Linked DNA regions of Macaca mulatta. The protein of the gene in region 1 purifies or fractionates together with the protein of each later gene. This does not show direct contact. Links are inferred from orthologs where the notes say so. Each region holds a gene or a part of one and is shown in the gene's direction. Other genes may lie near its edges.

The links. Proteins that work in one complex are often made in the same cells at the same time.
Region 2: the proteins of CRY1 (region 1) and FBXL3 purify together in Homo sapiens (affinity purification with mass spectrometry; 4 studies listed by BioGRID and IntAct, counting the BioPlex papers as one, with this or other methods). This does not show direct contact. The link is inferred for Macaca mulatta from reciprocal best matches to the Homo sapiens genes CRY1 and FBXL3.

The regions. Positions count from the first base shown.
Region 1 is NC_133416.1:114,223,634-114,227,286, reverse strand, and holds part of CRY1 (cryptochrome-1), read left to right. Parts: intron 1-3,265; coding exon 3,266-3,374; intron 3,375-3,653.
Region 2 is NC_133422.1:71,811,705-71,815,357, reverse strand, and holds part of FBXL3 (F-box/LRR-repeat protein 3), read left to right. Parts: intron 1-2,053; coding exon 2,054-2,176; intron 2,177-3,653. UniProt on the Homo sapiens protein: Substrate-recognition component of the SCF(FBXL3) E3 ubiquitin ligase complex involved in circadian rhythm function. Plays a key role in the maintenance of both the speed and the robustness of the circadian clock oscillation.

The DNA.
Region 1 (3,653 bases):
CTTTTCAGGATTGATTTAAGGATAGTAATTTGTTGATAGACTTGTTAAATTATAGGACGTCTGTGCAATGGAGTACTATGAAACTATGAAAATTGGTGCTGTAGAAGTATGTCCATTGCCTCGAAAAGATATTCACCATATATTAAACCAGAAACATATATAGCATATCTCATTTTTCTTCTACTTTGAAGAAATGTATGCTAATTATCAATTTTTAACTTTTTTATGAAGTTAAAAAAATGTGTTTGTTTCTCTCTTTCTCACTCCTATCTCAAACCCCCACTTCCTAAGGGGGAGGTATGATTAATAGTTTGGTAAGTATTTTTCCAATTATTTTCTTGTGCACATATAAACAAAAGTAGATACATGCAATGTAAATTTTATTTTATCAAAGTAATATATGCAAGTAGTTTTAAAAGCTTTATAACAAAGAATAGCATCATAGTGTGTTCTACTTTAGCCTTCTCTTTTGCTTTTCTTCTCAGATCTTTTCTACTTAAAATATTTGATTACAAAGTACCTATATTATTTTTTAAGTTCTTCTATTTTTTAAATCTATGTAACTTTTATGTGAAATGAGAGATGTAAATTATATCTGTGGAAGAAGAACACCATACTTCAATACAGCTTTTAGTCCTTTGTTTCCTGAAGTACCAAAACAAAATTCTTAGGTTTCAAAACTTTTCCCATTGCACCACATTACTTTAGTCCATATCATTCTGTGCATTTGTTTGGTTCATATAATGTTTATTAAGGCCAGGCCTGTGATGGTTCATGCCTGTAATCCCAGCCCTTCGGGAGGCTGAGGTGGGAGGACGACTTGAGGCCAGGAGTTCAAGACCAGCTTGGACAACGTGGGGAGACCCCCACCTCTACAAAAACTACAAAAATTAGCTGGGCATGGTGGCATATGTCTGTGGTCCCAGTCGCTCTAGAGTCTTAGGTGGGAGAAGTCAAGGCTGCAGTGACCCATGATTGCACCACTGCATTCCAGCCTTAGCAACAGAGCACAATCCTGTCTCAAAAAAAAAAAAAAAAAGTTTATTAAAGGCATTAAGAATGCTTATTCAGCCTATTAAGAAAGGGAAAGGTTATTAATTATCAGTCATACTTAATTCTTCATTTTATGAATTAATCATGTCCTTTGGGTTTATTTTCTTTTCCCATCTTACTGTCATTGAACTCTTGTACCACATAGAATCGTTTTGACCAAAAAGTTGAACATGGAGAACTCTTGCTGTTCTCAGTTCTTCCTCATTTCTGGTGGGGAAGATTTTGAAACTAATGTTGCAACAGAGATTAGGGGATTATTATTGCCTTAGATTACCCCTCCAGGACATTTAAGTTTTGTACTGTTTCAATTTAAGAAAACTTAAAATTGCTAGTTCTTTCAACTTCTTAATTTTTGATCCGTGTAAAAACTTTTTCATCTTTGTTCTGTCTAGTAACTCCTCTTGCCAAGCAAATACATAAAATTAGATGCTTCCCAACAAACGTTTATTACCAGACATGATAAATTATTCATAGTTGGAGATAATTTTATTAAACTCCGATGCTTTTATATCACTATCCATCTAACAACAACAGTCTTCTCCCCTGAAGTATTTGTACATTGGTAGTGGGTGGGTTAAGATGGGGATCAGGTGTTGGGGAGGTGACTACAAACCAAGGCAGAAAAGGGATGTGATAAAATATAAATGTGGGGATAGAAAGGATTGCCTCCTACTTGGAAACCCATGAGATTTCTTAAGGTGAAATGGTGGGATGTCTTTAACATCCTCATAAAAATATAGCACTGTGACTCTTCAAGCTGTGCTCCTAAAGAGGAAGATGGTGCTCCTAAAGAGGAAGAAGTGTCAGACCTGATTAGTGTATTTATGTCACTAATAACTACAGTTGTAAAAAATCAACAAGACTTATTTAGTGAAACGATGGGATCGGAATCGGTTAAGAGAACAAAATGATCTAGACCGAGCAACTTTTTAGAACAATCTGTCCAGTAGAACTTTCTGCAATGATGGAAATGTTCTGTAGCTATACTGTTCAGTATGGTAGCCACCAGCGATACATGTGGCTGTTGAGGACTTGAAATGTGGCAAGTGTGACTAAGGAACTGATTTTTAAATTTAACTAACTTAAATTTAAATGGCTACATGTGGCTTTTGGTTACCATATTAGATAGTACACTTCTAGAATATGCATTTCCCTGCTTCTTAATCACTCCTCTTCACAAGTAAGACATAATCACTATTCTGAAAGACCATGTGGCCTGTGGAAAAGACAGATAAATACTTAACCTTAAGATCAAGAACATAAAAGAAGCAAAATAGGAAATAAGATATGTCCAGCTGAAAAGAACAGAATCTAGATGAAAATTAGTATGAGTCAAATAATAAGATTGGACCTTCCATGGGTGATATCTCTTTTAAATTTGCTCTTGGGGAATGTTCCATTTCTTCACAACAGAAGATGCAAAGTAAGCAGTCTCCTGGTACTGTCCCAGAATTTTCCTAGATGTCTGCCATGTGTAAGCCTTTTTACTACTTACTTCATTGAAAAAAGCTATAATCTCCACCCCAGCTCCATGAAACCTTTTCTTATTTTTATAAGTTAATCTGGCATTTTCTACACTCAGAGAATTAATAACCACATAATTTGGCATCTACTTATTATTAGTTTCTTTTTTAATAAATTAGAAACTTGAAAATGGGCATTATGATTTCAATCTCTTAAACGATTACAATATTACAGAAAAGTACTCATATTCTTTTTTTTTTTTTTGTCCCCTCAGATTCCTTTTTACCATGATATTCTTATTCACTTGCTTATTCATTATATAGGATGTTTCTGGTTTTTTCCCCCCAGTAGCAGATATTCTAGATTTTTCAAGTTTTCCTTTCTATATGAAAAGCCATTTTCGTGTAGAAAGTATTTCATCAAGTTTAAATAATGAAACCAATTTCTTTAATTGCTTTGATACTTCTTTATATGTTTTTATGTTCACAAATTAAATTTTTGCTAAGTCACTTTTATTTAATGAAAATTAGTGATTTTATTCAGTATTTCATTAAAATACTAGGTAATTTGTGCTGTAATTAAAAAATATATATTAGTATGGTTTTTGGAAAAAGTAATTTATATATCAATAAGAGGTAATAAGATGATAGGTTGGCATTTCAACTTTTAGAATAACATGATTTTGTAATAATTTATGTCTTCTAAATATATATTTTTAATAATTTAAATAATATTTTCTTCTCTCTAGATTTTTGCTTCAGTGTCTTGAGGATCTTGATGCCAATCTACGAAAATTAAACTCCCGTCTGTTTGTGATTCGTGGACAACCAGCAGATGTGTTTCCCAGGCTTTTCAAGGTAATTTGAAAAATATTTGCATAAAACAATATTTTCTCAGAGAATATTACATATTTGGTAAATAAGGTTTTTTGGCTAATTTAAGGTGTAGAGAATATAAGTATTTTCAGGTAAAATTTTTGTGGGTTTTTTTTTCTTTAATGAAAAAGCTACACGTGGTAAAAATCAGACGGTGGGAAAATAGTTTACAATGAAAAGTTCAATCTTTCTTCTACCTTAAACTGCTAGTTCCCCTCCCAGAAGCAACAACTACTACCAGTTTCTTATGTATCCAATTCC
Region 2 (3,653 bases), on another chromosome or scaffold:
TTGTGCGGCTGTACTCCAGCCTTGGTGACAGAGCGAGACCTTGTCTCTGTTTAAAATAAAAAATTACAGTGGTTTGTGTGAGGCTTGTCATGTTTTGTTTGGGTAATGAATAAGGAAATATGGGCATGTTTACTGAATCTTTAAACACCAGATTTTGTGGTGATAAATAACTTATTGAAAAAAAACAATGCATGAATACTTGATTTACCTGGATGTAGCAATTGCTGAACAGTCCAGGCTAAACCTAGGCAAAACAATAGTTCTTAACCCAGAGCTTCTGGCCATAACTAAAATCTTGTCTTCCCTTGAAGAAGGTGATTTCCTCTTAGATGGAGATTACCTGCTTATTCTCCCATGTGTGTCCAAGGAGGAGGAGAGAATTGGTGATGGGAATGGTTGGATATGTTTTCACCTTTTTTCCCAGAAAAACGCACAAAGGCACTTAGGCCACTGATTGCCAGGTTTTACAAATAAAAATGTAAGATGAGTATTTAAATTTGAATTTCAGATAATCAATAATTTTTAGTATAGTTACATCCCGTTTAATGTTTGGGACATCTTTAATACTAAAAAAAATCTGCTGTTTACCTGAAATTTAATTGGATGTCTAGTATATTATCTTGCGATCCTACCTGGGGGTAAGGGTAGGGGGATCAAACAAAAATTCAGGACTCATCCCCATACCCCCAGGGGAGAAGGCTGAAGAGGTTTCTGTTTGGTTTTAGTTATCTTTGAGTTGTCTAAGAGTGTTCTAATGGTAAATCACATACAAAGATGCGTATAATACATTCCTCTGATAGGTCTTAAAGTCCAGTTCCACCTAGTAGATTTGTTGGGTCATTTTTATTCTTTTACAGCCCTGTGATATAATTCAGGTGTATCTAGTATAACCCTCATAAAATCATTTGTGCAAAAGTTTAACATTTTTATTAGGGTTTTTTTTTGTTTTTTCTCCTGAGGAAATAATTTCTGATTTACAAAAAAGAGTCACATCACAGGATTCTTCTGGGCTCTCCTGATAGTCTTCACCAATTGTAGACCAAGGAGGCTTATAGTTAGAATATTTAGTCTAGAAGAGAGGTTCTCTAACTTTATGTGCATCAAAATCACCTGGAGGGCTTGACCCCCCCCGCCCCCCCCAACAGTTTCTGATTCAGATGGTCTGGGTTAGATATCAACATTTGTTCCCATTCAAGTTCCCAGGTGATGTTGATTCTGCTGGTCCAGGGACCACGTATTATCTATAAGTAGCTCTGAAACTAATATAATTAGCACATTAGTTTTACCATCCACTCAACATTTTTGGGATAAAGTACTGTATCTGAATCTGGAAATTAATAATATCCTTTTAACTATTGTTTTAAGGTGCTTCCCAGGAAACAACTAACTTTTTGATGGATGAACTCCTTTTTACATCCTTGAGGGATTTTTTGGCCCTATTATCCTTCCCTTAGGAAATGTCTTTGCAGAAGTATGTGTGAGAATAGCTATCTCTTATTTAGTTTAGATTTTCATGCCTGACTGGTCCAGTACACTCATTTTACTTCACATTCATCTTTCCATTGATAACATTAATGATGAATCCCAGGTTGTGATACACATGTACATTTTGAGTAAATACTCAGTTTCTAGTGCATACCATAGAGCCTGTATTTACATCTATTATGTGATCCACTACCAAATATATAATTATTTTTTAAAGACTATAAATTGATTTACTCCATTAGTTTATATAGTCACTTTGGAATAAATCAGTGTAAAAGCCAACATTAAATATGTCTCTTATAATGAAAGCTAGGTCTTGTCTTGACAATTGCCCTTCTACTTTTTCAGAGAGACTCAGAAAAGGTTAAAGTTGGAGGTGAGGGTGGAGGGTGGATGATTGAAAGAATGTTCTTTAAGTTATAATGCAATAAACTAGTAATGATACTTCTATGAAATGAATATGTGTACAGAGAAATATAAATATATACATGAGTAATCTTGAAGTCTGGGTATTTGGGGAAAAAAGTAAAAAGACAATATAATGTACATGAGTAATGGTGTTTCTTAGGTGGACAGCAGCAAGGAATCAGCTGAAGCAGCTTGTGATATACTATCGCAACTTGTGAATTGCTCTTTAAAAACACTTGGACTTATTTCAACTGCTCGACCAAGCTTTATGGATTTACCAAAGGTATCTGGTCTTCTTGTTTTATTTTCTATTACTGAGAAATCCGGTGAAAGTCTAACCTTTTTTTTTTTTTGTATTGACAGTGTGAGTATAAGGAAAGTAATATATATACATAATGGAAAATCAGTTACTATTTACAATGAAAAGAAATAGTATTTTTTAAGCTTTTTTTTTTAAATCACCGTACTTCTAAATTGGTATGGTTAAAGAAATTTAGACAGGCGTCTATAGGAAGTACTCAAAGAAATTCAGTAAGTAAAACAGAGTCAACCATATTAGAAAAAAAGGGACACATAGATACTCATTTTGGGGCTTCCAGAGCAGATTGGTGAAGTTAGAATCAAAAGTAGAGAGTGCCAGTATTGAGAGCAGGTCTAACTTATAAAATCTTTTGGCAAATGTTCTGTAAAGATTTAATCTTGACCAAGGTTAGTATCAGCACAGTTTAGATTAATTTACAGACTTAAAGACATCCTTTATTTGGGGGAAAAGTTAACATATATTCATATATATATTCTAACGTGATCCTGCACATAATCAGAGATCGTGTCTCTCTCACAACTATTCTCTTAAAATACAAAAATAATAAGGGTACATTTTTAGAAAGGTGGTAAAGGTGTCTGAGTATGTTAGCTAATGGTTAGTAGGTTAGTCTCCAACAATAATTGATAAGTTTTTTCCCCAGAAGACACTGAAAACTAAAATACGGACATCCTTTTAGGTACCTGGTAACATACTGGGATGATTGAGGAGGGAATATAACTGAATTGAATATATAACCCAAGTGGTGGTTTCAGTAGAATGTCTGTACCAAATAAATCACCAGTTGATGTCAAAGTCTTAATTGATTTTGAAATATTTTCATTACATATGTATATTTTGAGATAAAATGTTTTTCTTCATGTATAAAATAAGGGAAATGGGCAGGAGAATCTAATTTTTTTTTTTTTTTTGAGACGGAGTCTTGCTCTGTTGCCTAGGCTGGAGTGCGGTGGCCAGATCTCAGCTCACTGCAAGCTCCGCCTCCCGGGTTTATGCCATTCTCCTGCCTCAGCCTCCTGAGTAGCTGGGACTACAGATGCCCGCCACCTCGCCCGGCTGGTTTTTTGTATTTTTTTAGTAGAGACGGGGTTCCACCGTGTTAGCCAGGATGGTCTCGATCTCCTGACCTCGTGATCCGCCCGTCTTGGCCTCCCAAAGTGCTGGGATTACAGGCTTGAGCCACCGCGCCTGGCCCTAATTATCTTAATATTTTAAGATCCTAAGTACAGAAGTTAGATCAGCATGGTACTCCGACTTAATGTGTAAAAATCTTCTGAATAGCCTCCTAAATTTTGGATTTGTATCCCTTTTTCAAATTCGGGGTGATTCTAAGTCTCCTCTTCCTGTGAGCAGTCCAGGTGATTCTGATTAAGATGGTTAAGGAAACTCACTCTAAGAAATACGGGTTACATGGTATAGCGCCACCTTCAAGCTTCAA